Caenorhabditis elegans: one gene and its partners. The protein of the gene in region 2 interacts with the protein of the main gene of each other region in a pairwise test. Each region holds a gene or a part of one and is shown on either strand. Other genes may lie near its edges.

Evidence for each region.
Region 1: the proteins of nhr-31 (region 2) and C50F4.1 interact in a two-hybrid assay, tested with the Caenorhabditis elegans proteins (one large-scale study listed by BioGRID).
Region 3: the proteins of nhr-31 (region 2) and taf-9 interact in a two-hybrid assay, tested with the Caenorhabditis elegans proteins (one large-scale study listed by BioGRID).

Annotation. Positions count from the first base shown.
Region 1 is NC_003283.11:9,525,050-9,529,762, reverse strand, and holds C50F4.1 (CHK kinase-like domain-containing protein), read right to left. Parts: upstream 2,971-4,713; 5' UTR 2,919-2,970; coding exon 2,817-2,918; intron 1,954-2,816; coding exon 1,333-1,953; intron 1,244-1,332; coding exon 1,154-1,243; intron 1,085-1,153; coding exon 975-1,084; intron 794-974; coding exon 628-793; 3' UTR 513-627; downstream 1-512.
Region 2 is NC_003282.8:8,023,483-8,031,073, forward strand, and holds the start of nhr-31 (Nuclear hormone receptor family member nhr-31), read right to left. Parts: upstream 6,032-7,591; 5' UTR 5,941-6,031; coding exon 5,834-5,940; intron 5,176-5,833; exon of another isoform or gene 5,029-5,175; intron 2,556-5,028; coding exon 2,278-2,555; intron 2,195-2,277; coding exon 2,040-2,194; intron 1,764-2,039; coding exon 1,282-1,763; intron 1,182-1,281; coding exon 908-1,181; intron 863-907; coding exon 689-862; intron 489-688; coding exon 339-488; intron 1-338. UniProt on the Caenorhabditis elegans protein: Orphan nuclear receptor.
Region 3 is NC_003281.10:13,622,357-13,626,519, reverse strand, and holds taf-9 (Transcription initiation factor TFIID subunit 9), read right to left. Parts: upstream 2,245-4,163; 5' UTR 2,237-2,244; coding exon 2,093-2,236; intron 2,038-2,092; coding exon 1,754-2,037; intron 740-1,753; coding exon 616-739; 3' UTR 513-615; downstream 1-512. Other genes in the region: T12D8.5 (uncharacterized protein), read left to right, coding at 1-56, 104-152, 195-488; mlc-5 (Myosin-2 essential light chain), read right to left, coding at 2,556-2,662, 2,778-2,884, 2,935-3,071, 3,120-3,197.

The sequences.
Region 1 (4,713 bases), on a different chromosome or scaffold from region 2:
AAGCATTTTATTGTAAACCGTACGCTGAGTAGCCCCAAGTTTCTAAAACATATATCAGATCTTGAATAACGAGATGTCTGACAACTGATGATTCATGAACTACCCACATAACATTATCTCCTCCCGCCTGACCTAACTGTCCTGTTAACAAACTTTCGTTCCTATTTATTCTTCTTGTTTCTATCCCTCTTATTCAGTGTATTGTATTTATGATCTATTATGTGTACATTTTTCTTTTTTCTTCAACTTTTTCCACGTCTCTTCGCGAGCGTAAATAAATAAATTAAGTAATTAATATCTATTTACAATATAATTTATAAATAGTATATTGCTATTTATATATTGTAATATGAACATCTTCTTACATAATTTAATTTGAAAGAAATGTTCTGATTTTCTCGAAGACACCCAATCCCTTTTTTAAGCAAGCTTCAAGTGTTTTCTCACACGTCATACATTTATTATTTTGTCGTCCGTATATCTACGTTGTCAAGAGATGCATCTTTCCGTTCTTGTATTGAAGATTTATTCATTCGTCACCAAGAAAAAACGACCAATCTTTATTTTTGAATTCGGTCATTTATTCTCGATTCTTTGAAAAAAAAAGCAAATACGTTATCTTATTCTTCAATCATCATTCTCTTTTTGTGAGAGAAATGGGTGCTCATTATCCGAAATGTAGTTTCCAGTCAAGAAATCTACAGTATCATTCAACGCTGTCTCCCATCGACGTGCAGCATCTTGTTTGACGTCATCCGAACCTTCACTCAGTGTAAAAAGTAGAGACTCGATTCTGGAAATGATTAGAAATTTTATTTAATGGGACTAGTGTTCTGAAAATTTGGGGCAACCTAAAATGCCTTGAAAAATTATTTTCTTGAAAATCCGGTAAAACACTATTTTATAAAAAATATCAAAAGTACGACAACTTTTTGGTCTTTTAAAACATTTGAAAATTTGAAACCTAAACTCACCCATTGATTAGAACTGTAGGTTGATATTCCTGGAACCATCTTTTCAAATCATGCAGTTGATACTTTGGTGGGTAATAGTCAACAAGTGCATAAAAATAGACTTGAAATATCTAAAATTAAAACAAATTACATCAAAAACATCTGGTGCTCTGCCGTTCCCATAAGACTCTCGAACCCACTTTCATGAACTTTTTTCGTCGAATGTCGACATCTGCAGATGAAACAATCAAATTTGCTAAATCCTCCACTGGATTTCCAAGATGAATGTTCTAAATTAATTAGGTTTTCGTTGTTGAAAGATCAAAAGTAAAAATTATAGTAGAACGCAGTTTTTTCTATTTTAAAAATAATTACGTACTTCCCATTCTGTGATCTCTACCAAATTCCCATCCTCATCAAATCTGCAAATCTCAGCTGTCAATCTTCCATGTGCGATAACATTATGTTTTTCCTTTTCATCTGCATCTTCATCTTTCCAATCTTCCAAGTAATGAGTCAAAATTCCAACTTTTTCAATAACTGAGGATGGATTCATGAAGTAGTCTGCAACTTCTGTAGTAGTTACTGCTGTTTCCAACACTTCAATCAATTCTTTTTGAATTTTCTTTTTGAATGATATGATGTTTCCATAATTTTCTTGCACATTGAGTGAGAATTGTTTATTGATAGTTTTTGAGTTGACAGCGTGTAACTTTGCAATCTGTGAGGCAACTTGTTCCAATTCTGGTAATCCCAATTTGGTACGAACACTTCCTTTCTTCAAAAATTGAGTAACATAGACAGAATGTTTGTTTTCATCTTCCGTCACAACAAACGATCGATTAAAATGTGCACTTGGAATAGGAATCTTCTCAAACGTTGATATCTCATGCCAGAAAAGTGAATTGTAGTAGGCGGCAAGCTTGCTTCCTTCCTCTAGTTTCACTATAACATCTTGATCATCTCTCACCAAATGCACTCGGAAGAGGCCCTCCGCTGTCTAAAACCAGAAAACGATGATATTCTAGAAGGGCGGGAGAAAGAAATTGGCCTCATTCAAAGGTCATTCAGTATCACATTTTGGCACATTTCTTTCGAATTTGGAACAATTTCGTAGAAAGTTTAAATCTAATCCTAATACTATACTTCCAATATTTTAATTATTTTTTTTTGTTTCAACCGTATTGAGTTCAATTTTGAAAAACTTGTTTATTTAACAATATTTCCGTTTTCTTATCAGTAAAACAGGCAGTTAAAAATTTCCACAAAAAACGTCATTAGAAAATGAAACGACTTGAACGAAATTTCCTTATAACCGGAATAATCTTTGTGCTCATTTAACTCCCAATATAATACACTCCATCCAAAAACACAAACATGAAGTATTAATTTTAAAGAGGTAATATGGAATTAAAAAACATGAAAGCTTTGTACGAAGACAAAACATTGGAAAGTAATTCGTACTAGCACCTTTAAAAGTGAAGTTCAAAGATAATTTCACAAGCAACATTTTCGAAAATTTTTGAAATTAAACATTAAAAATTGTCTAAAAATATCTTAATCTAGCGTTGACGGTTTTTTCTAATCGTTGAAAATAATAGTCAGATTAAGAGAGTCGACAATGTAACGTATACGATTTTGGCATCATATTTGCAATATTTAAAAAATTTGCAAAATCCTTTTAAAATTTGAGCCATTAAAAAAACTAACAGTAATAGGAGTTACAATAATTTTATAGTACTTGATATCTGTAGTACATTTAAATTTTGAGTTAAAAGTTTTTGAGATTTTTGCAATGCCCTCAAATAGTTCCTATTGGTTTAATATATGAGTTTTCAACTATGAACTAATTTATAAAGTTACCTCTAACTCCACGGTTGTGACACCATTGATAGTGACAGTAGGATTAAGTTCTTTAACTCGAGACAATCCAAGTTCCTTTGCAATTAATGCAGTGATGAACATAATAACTTCTCTGTGAATCAACCAACAATGCCAACACTGATATGTCCTTCTTCTGAAAATGCAAAGAAAAAAGGGAGGAGAGGGAGCAGGTGGACGAGGTCTTGTTATCAGTGATAAAAAATGCGGGAGAAAAAAGCGAAGAGAATCGAAACTAATGACACTGTCCCGTTTATGACTTTGATGATGGGCGACGACAATACTTGCATATTTTGTGTTTCGTAGAGCAAATAACATTTGCAAACACATTTTATAGCAATGAAAAAGAAGAGGGAGTGAGTCACGAGCTGAAATTTTGAACGAAGATCATAGGTGGTAGGTACTTTGCTAATGTGGTAACCATTTGAAACTGATATTTATCCGAAAATTATGAAGTGGGCGGCACAATTCTGGACGTAGGATATCGGATATCAAACTAGTGGGTGGCTGAAATGAAGACGAATTTAAAATTTAAAGTTCACGTTCGAAGACATATAGGACATCTGCCAAGTTGGCACTACATGTATCACATTAAGTTTTCAGAAAAATTGCGATATTTTCTCTCTAGGCTTGCTTCATGTAATCGAGTTTGAAATCTTCTTTCATATTTGTTTCTGGTTTCAATCTTACTGGCTAATATTATTATCAAATCAGTAATAATTTGGCGAATTTTGAGCTAGGTTTATATTCAATTTATACTGGAATAATTATTTTGAATCGTAATGTTGTTTGTGTAACGGTTTGTAAGCTTATAATTTGGAAAATCCTTGAAATTTTTCGTTGGGTAAATCCGCGCTAATTTTTTACCCCGCGCAAAAAAGTTCAAAAGTTCAGAATTGAGGCCTTTCCATTTTACATGTGATTTCCTAAACTCTAAAAATAATTCCAAAATTAATTTTAAGGAAATTTGAAAACAATAACCTCAGGACACATTTAAATTATTGTTTTCATCCGTATAGAATTGAAAAAAATCATTTTCATAAATACCTATTTTCGAATTAACGTTTTGTTTTCGTGCGTACTTTAATGTTCTTTCAATAGCCCATTTCATCCTTGCTCCGGTTGAGTTGACGAACGCCTTCAAAATGAGCCATAATTGAGAGCATTACTTTTTGATGCATTTTATTTTCCATTAAATGTTGTTTCTCTTTTTGTTGCGTTGTGCAGAACAATAAAAATACAAAACAATAATTTAACTTTCGATCCAATTAAAATTATTTTTTTTAGAAAACCAAAAATATTGATTCGATATAACGCTGTCTTAAAAAAAAATCTTATGAACAAAAACTTCATCTGAATTTCTTTTTCGTATTGTTTTGTTAAGAAACTGAAAAAAAGTTGTTTTTTTCCAAATCGAGGCAACTCTTGTTTTATCAATATCAGTTCATAATCTCTTCCCTTTTGTAAGTGGTAAATAAGAGTTTCTGTTTGTTTTATAGTATTAAATCACTCATAAATTGATACTAAGTAATCTTCCTTTAAAACTATTTTTGATGCCGCATTGAATATTTTTTATTCTGAATATTTCAGAAAAAAAGTTGCCATCTAAAAATATATCTAGTATTTTTAGGAACTTTAAGAAGTGCGACTTTGAAATGTGAATGATTTCAGACTTATCATGAAAAAGTGCTTAACTCGGTAGAATTTCCAGCCTGTTAATCAAAAAGTCACGCATCATTTGACCCATCCGATTGTTTGATTTTAGCCACTCCCTTTCTAGCATTTTAAAAATGCTTCATGACACTCAACTGACTCAATACGTCAACCCATTTCCTTCTCCTCCCACTCAACAAGTCAAAACAATTTTTGTGCATCACGA
Region 2 (7,591 bases):
AAGCCCACATATGGAAGGAGTTTCTTGGGCTCGACCACTTTAGTCTTAACTTGAAACGGTGTTAATAATAGAAATAGAAATTCCCAAGAAAAAAATGTTAAGAGACTTGGAGCGAGTTAGCAAAAATAGGTACCGATTTGTATAAAAGAAAAATCGATAATAGTCACAGCCTCTATCTGAGCTTTTTTGAACGTTTTTCAAACTTCTTGTATATTCTTAAGAATATGTTTGTGTAAAACGCATTGAAGCTAGTTCCCTCAATTTAGAATCTTTACTATCCAAGAAAGTTTCAACATATTTTCCCTCAAATTCCATAAATATTTTCAAACTTCTCTCACCATTGGAGGAGAGTATCCAGCATTAAGCATGGAGCTACATGAATTTGAATGTGGAAGATATGGTCCAGATGATAACAAATCATCATTTGTCTGTGTTGCCACATCTACCCTTCTCACGAATCTTCGATCAGACATTGGCGGTGAGATACTCTGCAAACAAACAAGAAATTAGATTTTTGCACACTCTTATCATTGCCATTTATCAGTTGGTAGTTGGCAAATTTCAACTTTCAATTCTCCGAGAAACTCCGAAATTTTATAGTTTTAATGAGTTTATAGTTTTAATGACAATTAAAAGAAAAAGATAATGATATAAAGTTTGATCTTTCAGTCATTTTTAGTGAACTGACCTCTAAACAAATTTCAGCTGGATTCTCGAATAGTGGTGGGCTAATGCTGCTGCTGATAAGTTGATCATCAAATGTTCTATCTCCAAACATTTCAGCTAACAAGTTATCTCCACTTGCACGTCCTCCAAGAGCTTGACAGAAATGCATGTTTTCAGACATCAATCCGGAAAGAGTCTGAAATGTTTTGAAATAGAGAATGCAACAGTAATGACGACTAACAGTAATTGTTGGCAGAAGAAGCAACAAGTTTCCAAATCGGCTGCTTGCAGAATAGATTGGATGAAGCTCCTTGACAATTTGGAAAAGCATATCTTGAACTTTATCTCTCAACTCAGAAATCGCGTGCCTCGCATGCTCGGATAGTCCTTTTGCATTTGGATTTAAAATAATAATTGCTTTTAATGGAACAATTTCTTCTTCTTTCAGATTTAATTTTCTCAATGGAGCCACCAATTCATTTAACGTTCGATCAATCAGGAAGTTTGAGAGATGACTGAATAAATCAAATTAATTTTCTTTAATTTTAAATAGTATTTTTCATATATTTTTATTGCGTTGATAAAAATTGGAATTAAATTAAAATTCCAACTTACTTTGTCTCATTAAACTCTGGAGGCAATCTTCTTGGAACAAATGAATGACTGCAAAGACACAAAATATCCGGATTCTTCGTATTCTGAGCAGTTCTCGCAGAGAAATTGAAAATAGTTAACGGCGAGTAACAACTTTTAACCAATGCAACTTTATCTTCAGTATCAACTGCATCCGCAATTTCAGTTAATGAATCAACCCAATCAACAGCTGCAATTGCTCTTCTATGAGCAATTACTCCAAGTTCTTCAGTTCTTGCCATTCGAAATGGTTCATAACCAATTTCCATCCGTCGACCATCTAATGCAGGTTTTGATTCAAACATTTCCCGTAATGAAATACTTTTTGGATCTTTTGCAGTGTTTTGTGCACTCATATTATTATCTCCTTTTACTACTTTATCCTCAATACTCATCAATTGCATTAATAAAATTCGAGTCTCGACAGGAAGTTTTCGTGACCAATCATCTCCTTGTAACCGCATCTGAAAATTTCAAGTATTAATTTATACATCATTCATGTATAGTGTAAGTTATTCTGGATTTTATCAACAACACAAACTAAATTTTAACTGTTTGAATATGCATAAACATTTTTCACTCGATTATTCCAGAACAAATAGAAAACATCACAAAAAACACTCAAATCATTTTGAGATTTTCCATAATTTTATGTCAAGTTTTTGTGAATTGTCAAATTTTTGGAAATTTTAAATTTGCCACCAGTTTTTTTTCAGTGTATCTACATTTTCAAAACATACCATATGATTTAAAAGCTCCTCATCAATTTGCTTCTTCTTAATTCTTGGAACTTTCTGTTTTCCTGTCTGATCCCTATCCGGCCTGACTGCTTTTGGATCCATTCCTGCTTGAATACAACGTTGAAATCTGCAGTATCGGCAACTATTTCGCTGGACTGAAAACCGAAACTTCAGGTATTTTCTTGATTATAAAGATACTCAGTCAAGTATATTCGAATTTATTCTTTAAAAAACTTACATTTATCAACAATACAATTATTTGAGAATCTGCATGCATATCGATATTTTCCAGTCAGTGTTCTTCTAAAGAATCCTTTACATCCATAACATGCAAGTACTCCATAATGTAATTTTGCAATTCCGTCACCACAAACAGCACAAACTGAATCTCCATTCTGTGATCCACCACTAGAAACTGTGGGTTGCTTGTCACTGGGCCTGATGATATATGACGTGGCGGGACCACTTGATGACGTGGCACCGCTTGTCCTTAAATCTCCTCGCATCATTGGAACTCTGGAAATTTTAAAGTTAAAAGATCGGGAAAATTAGTTTCAAACACAAAAATAATAAAATTTAAAAACTAGAGTGTGTCCTTGAAATTTTGATTTCTTGATCTTCCCACAATAATTTGTGTCTTGGAAAATACAACGTTTTTTGGTGAAGACGGAATTACATTTTTCAAGTGATTAAACTTTCAAAAGAGTATTATATTTGATACGGTTTTTTCAGTTTCAAAATTGCAAAATTTTGTGTGTGGAAGCGGAATTGAAAGTCGATAGGCACTTTTTTGTTATTGTAAAAATTCATTGCTTAATCGGAGCTAAATGTGCAAAGTTTTCTAGCCAAAAGGCATTTAAGAATCCAATTAAAAAATCATTGGAACAGTGACCAATTCCATTGATGATAAAAAAAATTCATAATTTCAATTTGTTGCAAACTATCAAAGTTCACACATCAAAAAGACCAAAAAGTTCCACGTGGAAAAACTGACGTATTTGGGGGAATACCTATGGGGCGGTGTCTCTCTATGATAATATTACAAAATGGGGGAAATTAAGTGGGAGTGACATTGAAATAAAAGGAGATGAAGGAGGAGAAGACGACGACGATTTACTGATAACAAGGCGAAAGAGACACTGATTTGAAATAAAGAAGAAGAAGAATACAAAACAGAAGACGCTTGAGAGGATGAAGAGAAAATGAAAACATAAAGATTAGATGTCACTAAGGTTTTGAACAAATAGTAAATAATTTGTTTAAAACATTTTAACACCTGTAACTTTATTTTAGAACAGTATTTAAGCTTGTTTTTCACATCAATTACTTGTTTTTTAAATCAATTACACCAGTACAAAATAATTTTTTGTTGATAAACTACTTGTATATTTGAAAAAATGCACTCCCAAAAACATTATTTTCTCAATTAATCTTGCTCAACTTTGGCACCTGATATCTTGGCTATTTTCGATTGAATCAATTTAAAATCAACTGGCAGCAGATGTATTATTAATTTTTCTATAGTTTCAAAGCTTAACTTTTTTTTTGTTGAAACGAACGGAGGTATATACTTTCACAGTAAAATAGTCCGAGTTTTTGAAGTTTCATAAGCGTTTTTGAAGAATTATCATGCCAGATTTCGAACAGTTCCTAGTTAGGAACTATACTGACCAAAAGAGACTGTCGAGAAAATAAGAACCAAAGGAAGAGAGATAGTAATGGAAAAAAGAGAATCGAAGAAAAGAAACGAGAGAAAAATATGAGGTGGTTCGTGTCCGAAATCTCGACCTCCGAACAAGGCAAGTAAACAGGCGCGAACCTTTCCTCAAAGCACGCACACAATGATGATTTCCGCTTCGTTTATCCGCACAGAATTTTTTTTCTTCATTTTACAAGAATTTATTACCTATCAATCTTATAACCCTTGTCCCCCTGTAGGCTTGCCAGACTTGCCAATCACTTTCTAGGTCATTCTACTAGAGGAGGGAAAGGTGATAAAGATACATGAAACACAGACGAGAAACGGATGATGTCAGTAATAAATTAGAGATAGCTTTTAGCATAGGATGCCTATATTCTCCAATCAAACACTTAAATCTTCTTTCTGTTTATCCTTAATTCTAAATTAAAAATCAACGATTCGAATCAGTAAATGTATGATGTCATATTTATATCAAGACGTGCAGACTAATTGGGCTAATTGGATGTATTGCCTTTTTGTAAAGATATATTAGAAGATCAAATGATAGAGCCTCTGACTACAAGGATCCAAAATGTCACCAAAATAAATAAAATCGTAATGCTTTTTGTCTATCGAATTTTTTTACGGGTCTCATAAAATTGGAGGAGGCATTTGGAGATAAGATAACTTGTATCAATTGTTGTTTACAGCTGAATAAGGAAAAGGTTATTGGATAGGATAGGGGAAGTTAACATATACTAGTTTATCTATAAGTAGATGCTGAATTGTGATCTAGAATCAAAGCTGGATTATATTTTAAAATACTTTAATTATCCTGTTTAAGCTTTGCACACGAACAAACTACTAACTAGAGATTTTTTCAAATTCAAATATTTTATACTAAAAGTAAAAACCCGCAAAAATTATTTTTCGAATCGAGTAGAGAATACTTTTAGCTATTAACCTTGTGGAGTGAATACTAAACTGTCTTTCTGAAAACTTCTAAGAATATAATCAAAATTGAATCTCAAAAGAAACTTCTCACTAAATTAAGTGATCTTCTTCAACCGAAGAACACATCTGACTCATATGAACCGATGCAGTTCGTCTCGGTTTCTTGTAGCAAATTCCTTTTATCAATCACAATCATATCTTTCTTCATTCATTCAAATTGATCGATTACCGTCCTTGAACCCTTTTATTTTACTTTTTCTCAATTTCCATGTAAACCATTCCTCAAGTAGCATTCAAATCACAAAGATCATTCACCTATCCCTTTTTATCGCAATTTGATCATTCTTCGCGCGCATCTTGTCACGTGCCTCTTCACTCATTTCCACGCCAAATTTCAAAGTTTCCACGTGGCAGGGTTACTACTAAAGTGGCAAGACAGTAGTATTTACGATCGACGCGCTTTTACAAAGTATGTGTGAGATGGTGGTGATCAGAGGTAGTAGTGCCATTGATAAAATTGCAAATTATTATCACAAAAATGGTTGTTGCGTCGTGGCGGGGCAAGAATAAGATAACAAAGGGGAGACTCTGTCCTATACAAAAGGGAATTAGAATTAAAATGCAAATAGAACACGTACTTGCAGCTTCTTGAAAACTATCTAATGGCTCTAATGAGTTGAGATAATTGCTCAAAAGTTCATTTAAATCATTGTCAATTGATCTGAAAACGTCAGAAGATCAGCGATTGATTGCCAAAATGTCGTAATTTCTTTGAAACTATCAAATGCTTTGATATCAGAATAGATGTAAAAGTTTAAGGCCTGAAGGGATTTTGTATCACATTGACTTTGAATAAATTTAGATTTAGCATTAAATGGGGTTTCAAGTAAATCTTTTCTTTTCAATTTTCAATGTTTTTATCAAAGAGCCACTAGAGCTATATATTTGAGATAAAATTTTTTGGCGGCTTCGGTAAACAAAATTTTTTGAAAATTATTTATCTCACAAGTTCAAAAAATTAAAGAAAAAACTATGAAATGATCTCCAACTGATCAATTGAGCAAATAAATCTTAATAATTTGATATTAATTCTCAAAAAAGTTAGGGTTATGATGCAAGTTCAAATGCACAGAAAAGTTATAATAATCGATTTACTAACCTTTCAACTTTCACAACTCTTGTACCAGGTCTTATTGCATAAGTTGGTTCTTCTTCAAGATATTCATCACCCCAATACTCCCAATCTTCGACATCAAGTTGTTCCATTTTAACAGATGGTGCTGCAAACGGCAGCGTCGATATGGGAAAAATTTTGAATTAATTGAAATTAAAATTCGTGTTCTTCTATTTGTTGTTGCTGGAAAAAAGTATATATAAATGTATACATATTAAAGCAACGGATTTCAGAAAAATAAACGGTGAAAATGAAAGAAAAAGGGACGGTAATTGTGGTCGGAAGGTGGACAGGAGGATAGACGGACGGACAGGATGGATAGACGGTCAGGCGGATTATTAAACGGGTTTAGGTTTCATTTGTATATATAAATATATGAATGTGTTTAGATGAAAATATATATGAAAACGGAAAGAAATTAAACGGTCAATGTATTGAGGTGTCGGGTTATCACATCTTTTAATGAGATTTTGAACGTAATTTCTCTGTAATTAAGAAAATTCAATTTTAAATAAAATTATCTCCAGAAATAGAAAATTACTTATTTGACTAGATTCTACATAGTTTGTTTTAAAACCTTTCTTTAATAATAAAATATTATTTACATCCCGTAATTTATATATGGATTCCTTTTACCTTTCTCTAAGTGAATTAAAGTTAAGAAAAAAAATCGAACGGTCAGTTTAATGTGTACTACCTCTTGTACGTCCAAGTGGATCATTTCAAAAACATTGTTAAGTTCTAATCAAATATTGATAAAGTTAGGTAACGACTCAACCAGTCGCACTTTTCTTATTTTTATTTGATTTATTGGAGAAAGAAACGAGAGTAGGTTTCCATTTATTATCTATTTCTCGTTTTTCTAAATTAATATTTTCATTTTAGAATTTAAGAATTAGCTTCTGATAATAGTTCATGTCCCCCTTACAAATCAGAGTCTAACGTGGCAGCAGCCAAAAATTTGTGATTGATGATAACGAGTGACGGTGGCGGAGAAGGACGCAAAAAAAGTTTGCCAAGCCAATTCAGCAAGCTGGCACACCACCGATTATTGTTCTGATAACTGAAAAAAACCACGTGTGAAGAAGAGGAGCTGCCAAGAGATTAAGGATTGTTTAGTGGACATTTTAAATTTAGAAATCCTTTTTTGAAATTTGGAAAAATATGAATAAATGAAGCTTGAAGATTCAACAAAATTTATGTTATCAATAACCAAACATTGTTATGTTTTCTTCAAATGTTCTAAACTTTTGGTAATTCTCGGAGTTGGACCAATTCAAACAATATACAATTCAAAACTATTTTGGAACCATCCAGAATACTATGGAATTAACATGAAATAGAAACATAAACGTGTAAGTTATGTAAATGAAAATATGGAATAACCGAAACTTGTTAAAAATGCAAAATGACGGAGCGGATTGGTGAAAAGAAATACGGAGAGGATTATGAAAATGTATATGGCTACTAGATTATACAGTACTTTGAACTATTCGTAGATCATTTCAGCTCTATGACGACCACAACGATTGTCCGATTGTTCTTTTCAGATTTTTGAACTTTTAAGCGAAAAAAATTGAATTTTAAAAGTTATAATGTAAAGAATACACATTAATATGAGTCGAACTCTTGGAGATTATAGAAAATATTTAAAATTCTTAATAAAAGTTGAATAGACTTTCTGACTTTACTTGATTTAATCAAACTGTTCTTCGATAATAAATTGGCACAAACTGATAATAA
Region 3 (4,163 bases), on a different chromosome or scaffold from region 2:
CTTCTCGCAGTTTTTCTGCTAGCCGTATGTAGCCTCGGAGAGTCGAAAAAACCAAAGTGAGCCAGTTTATTGGTTGATTTTTCCATCTTTATCGATTTTTCAGGGCACAGAAGGTTATCTACGTGCAGAAGGTGGTGCCGCCCCAGAAGCAGGTAGGATTTGAATTTTTAGCCAAAAACTTGGATATATTGAAGCTCTCCGAATACGACCTCTGCAAGGAGCAATGCCGAATCGAAAGCGAGACGCAATCCAACAAAGAACGCGTCGAGCTTTTGAAACAGGAGATCGACCGAGCTGAGCAGTTGCTCGCCGAGCACAATAAACACGTGGATGCTCCGGAAATCGCACCCGAAACGTACATGGAAGCTGGTCAGGTTCCGCCAATGCGTAAGGCTAGCCGTTACGATCATTTGAAAATGGCAGCCAACAAAATTGTCGAGTCGACGAGTGAGCTGAAAAATGCGGTGACAGGTGGAGGGGATAATTGAATTGTTTTTGAATTGTAATTGTGTAAATTTTTGAATTTTATAAATAAAAATCTGGGTTTCATAGAGATCATTGGCAGGATTGATTAGATAAAGTAGAAAATGGCATAAAAAAAACAAAATTAAAAAGTTATGAGTCAAAATCATCGTCTGGAGCTCTTCGCTTGAGCATATTCTGTACATGCTCCGGCCGTAGCACTTGTGTTGGTGGTTCGATGATATGTGGCTGATGGGTGACTTGTTGCATTTCCATTCTGAAAACTTGAAAATTTTGAATTTGATATGTATAATTTCATTTTACTACAGAAAAAAAAAACGCATGCCATAAAGATTTAAAAACAATAACTAAATGGAATATTGTCGGAAAATATGTGACTTTTAGTTTTGTGTCAAGGTTTTGTATTTTTGATTCGAAAAAACAATTTTTGAGATGAAAATGCAAATTTGAATCAATATTTTTCAAATGAAACTGACAGTAGCCACAAAAAGCATTGAAAATCGACAAGTTTAAATATAGAATTTCTGTAAATTTTTAGAATGAAAATTTCGGAAAAAATTTATATTTCGGCTCAAAAAGCGGTGAAAACTTAGTTTTTAACAAATGTTTTTGGAAGTTATCGATTAAAAAAAACTTATTCCATGTCTTATGCATTCATATTTAATTATTTTGGGGGCACGAAAATGCGAAAGTGTTTTCGATTTCTCGAAAGGTGGCTCCAAACAACACCTTTTTTTACTTGAAACAAAAAATCTTCTATAAATTTGGTACTTTTCCTTTTCTACCCCGCATTTTTCTGGAACATTTTCTTGGATAAAAATGTGAACTTTTTCTGTAATTTTGTTTTCTAATGGGGTTATTCAAGTAGTGTCGGAAAATTAAAAAGTGTAGATTAATTACGTCACAACTGTATTCAAGTATATAAAAACATGTATTTAAATACATTTGTGACGTCACAAATGTATTTAAATACATTTTGCTACATTACTTGAATAACCCCATAAGCCTGAAAATGATTCACGTGAGAATTAAATTTGAATAATTCAATGTTTTGAATATTCATTTAAAAATGCGGTGTAAAAAAGGAAAAGTATCATAATTTTTTTAAAAGTTCTATTGTGAGTTTTTATTGTTATTTTGTCATTTTTGAACCATAGGAATGGTTTTTAATAGTTTCCCCACTGGTCGTACTCCACTTTAAAATACCTTCTTTCCGTTTAAAATCAAATTTTTACAGATTTTTCAAGATATATCGAGAAAAAAAACGTACGGCTGATAACTGTCGTCAGCTTTGTACACAAAATTCTGCTGTAATTGACAGAATCGATCGTTGGGCAGCTTCAGGCCATAATTGTGTCGAATTTGCGGTAGGGGCTGCTGATTTTTGTCATTCGCCAATTGCAGAATCTTCTCACGGTCCGGAGCGTTTGTGGTCAGAACGCCGAGCATGTCGGCCGCCGTTTGAACGTCTTCTGCCTCGATTTGCGCTTTTTCAGCATGCCTGGACAGTCCACTTGACATTTGGAGGATTTTTGACGTCACTGCGTATTGAACCTGGAAAAAATCATTATTTTTTGAATTTTTAGAGCTCAATTTTGTATTTTCTCACATCCATAAGCATTGAAACGACGCGTGGATCAAACTCTTGAATTCCACACTCGTGGAGCATGCTTATTACAGCAAGCGCCTCTTTACTGTGTCCATCGGTACCACTTGCCGTCGTTTCTGTGTCTTTTTCTCCTGTATCTGCCATTTTTCTTTCTGAAAATGCAATTATATGGATTTCCCCACAAAAATAACGGAGAGGAAATACAGAAATATCATGTGAGATGTAACACGAAATACAAAAATTATGAAATTAGAATTAAAATTTAGAAAAATTCATCTTAAAACACGGAGGATACAAAGTTGTTCACTGAATCGTTGCAAGTTTTTTTTGGTGAACTGGGAGAGAGCGAATAAGAAATAGAATTAACGGATGCAAAAAAGTCGATAAATAAATAGATTGTGTGGAAAATGCCGAGGAAATTAATGGAAATGATATATTTACATCAGCTGAATTCGATTATTTTTTAGGAGTTCATGACAGCGCGTACGAAATCCGAGATATTGACGTTTCCGTGAGAATCGTTGTGTCCGGAGAGCAATTGATCGACGTCTTCATCGGATAGGCGTTCTCCTTGAAAAAAAATTGATAAAATTGGGGTAAACTTTAAAATTGTATAGACCAGCAGAACATTTTTGAAAAGCTACTTATATATTAATTTTTTGATAATATTCACTCAAAATCCTACCAAGAGTGGTGAGCAAGTGTCGGAGCTCTGCGACATTGATCATTCCGTTTCCCTCCTTGTCGAAATGCGACAACCCCTCGACGAACTCCTCAACGGTGTGCTTTTCACTGAAATTATGTAGAAATTGAAATTTATTAACTGAAAATTCGCCACGAACCGATTCTTGGACACCGACTGGAAAATTGGGACAAAGTCCTCGAATGAAAGCCGAGCTTCCCGATCGAACGAGCCGACACATTTGTGAATTTCGGCTTCTGTTGGGTTCTGGCCGAGCGCGCGGAGCACATCACCGACCTGAAATATGAATTTTGGATTAAAAAAGTAAAATATTGAATTAAAAACCTGCTGAACAGAGATTCGCTCGTCGCCTTTGCTGTCAAAATAGGCGAAAACCTCACGACAATCAGCCAAATCGTCCATTTCTCACAGCTGAAATTGGAAAATTGAGAAGACGGGATGAAAACGAAAATCGATTATCAGTGAGTGAGAAGTTGGCGATAAAAGAGAGAATGAGTCACGGGGACGAAACAATTCGGGAGGAAAATGGGTGGGCGGTAGAAGATTTTCGAAGAGAGCTGAAAACATTTCATGCCTTCCAGAAATTCTCAAGCAAAAATTCAGCCTTTCTCGGCTATTTCCCGAGAAAAACGAGTTTCACAACACATTATTCACCGCACATGAACTGAAATGGCGATCGATTGGCGAGTTTATTTGAATAGTAGACACACACAGCAGAAGAGACGACCAAAACGGGCAGTTTCCCCGCGCGGCGGTGTCCTGACTGTCCGTTCAACCGCGTGAGAGTGTGTGGAGATGGTGGAGACGCGAGGAAGAACAACATCCCGAATTCTTGTTGTTCGGAACTTTTTCTCACCGATTCATCGACAAGATACCAATAGTTTGGAGGTTATCCGGCGGGAAAAAGAGGGTTAACAGAGGGCAATTAGAATTAAAATTCGAATTTTCGAGTTGCGGCATGAGCATAGAGCACAGAGAAGCAAAGAGCGCCCAAGTTGCCACGGAAACCATGCACATTACGTGCTGAATACAATTCCTGCGAAATTTTACAGAAAAATCTATTTTTCTGCAGAATTTCAAGGATAATTATCGATAAGCCAAAAAATTGATATAAAACAAAAAATTTTCGGGCGCCAATTTCAAATGCCATGGCGCAATGCACAACGGGCGCTAGATCCCACGCGCAAATGCACAGAATATGCCTGTTTTGAAATTTATTTTTCTCGAGAATTTCTAGAATTTTCGATAATTCAAAGGAGTTTTTTGGTTTAAAAGGCGTTATTCTAATTTTTTGATCTAAATTATCAGGTATTTATCTATTTTTCACTTTAAATCCCCTCTTTGCGTAGTCGGAACACCTCTGGCGGC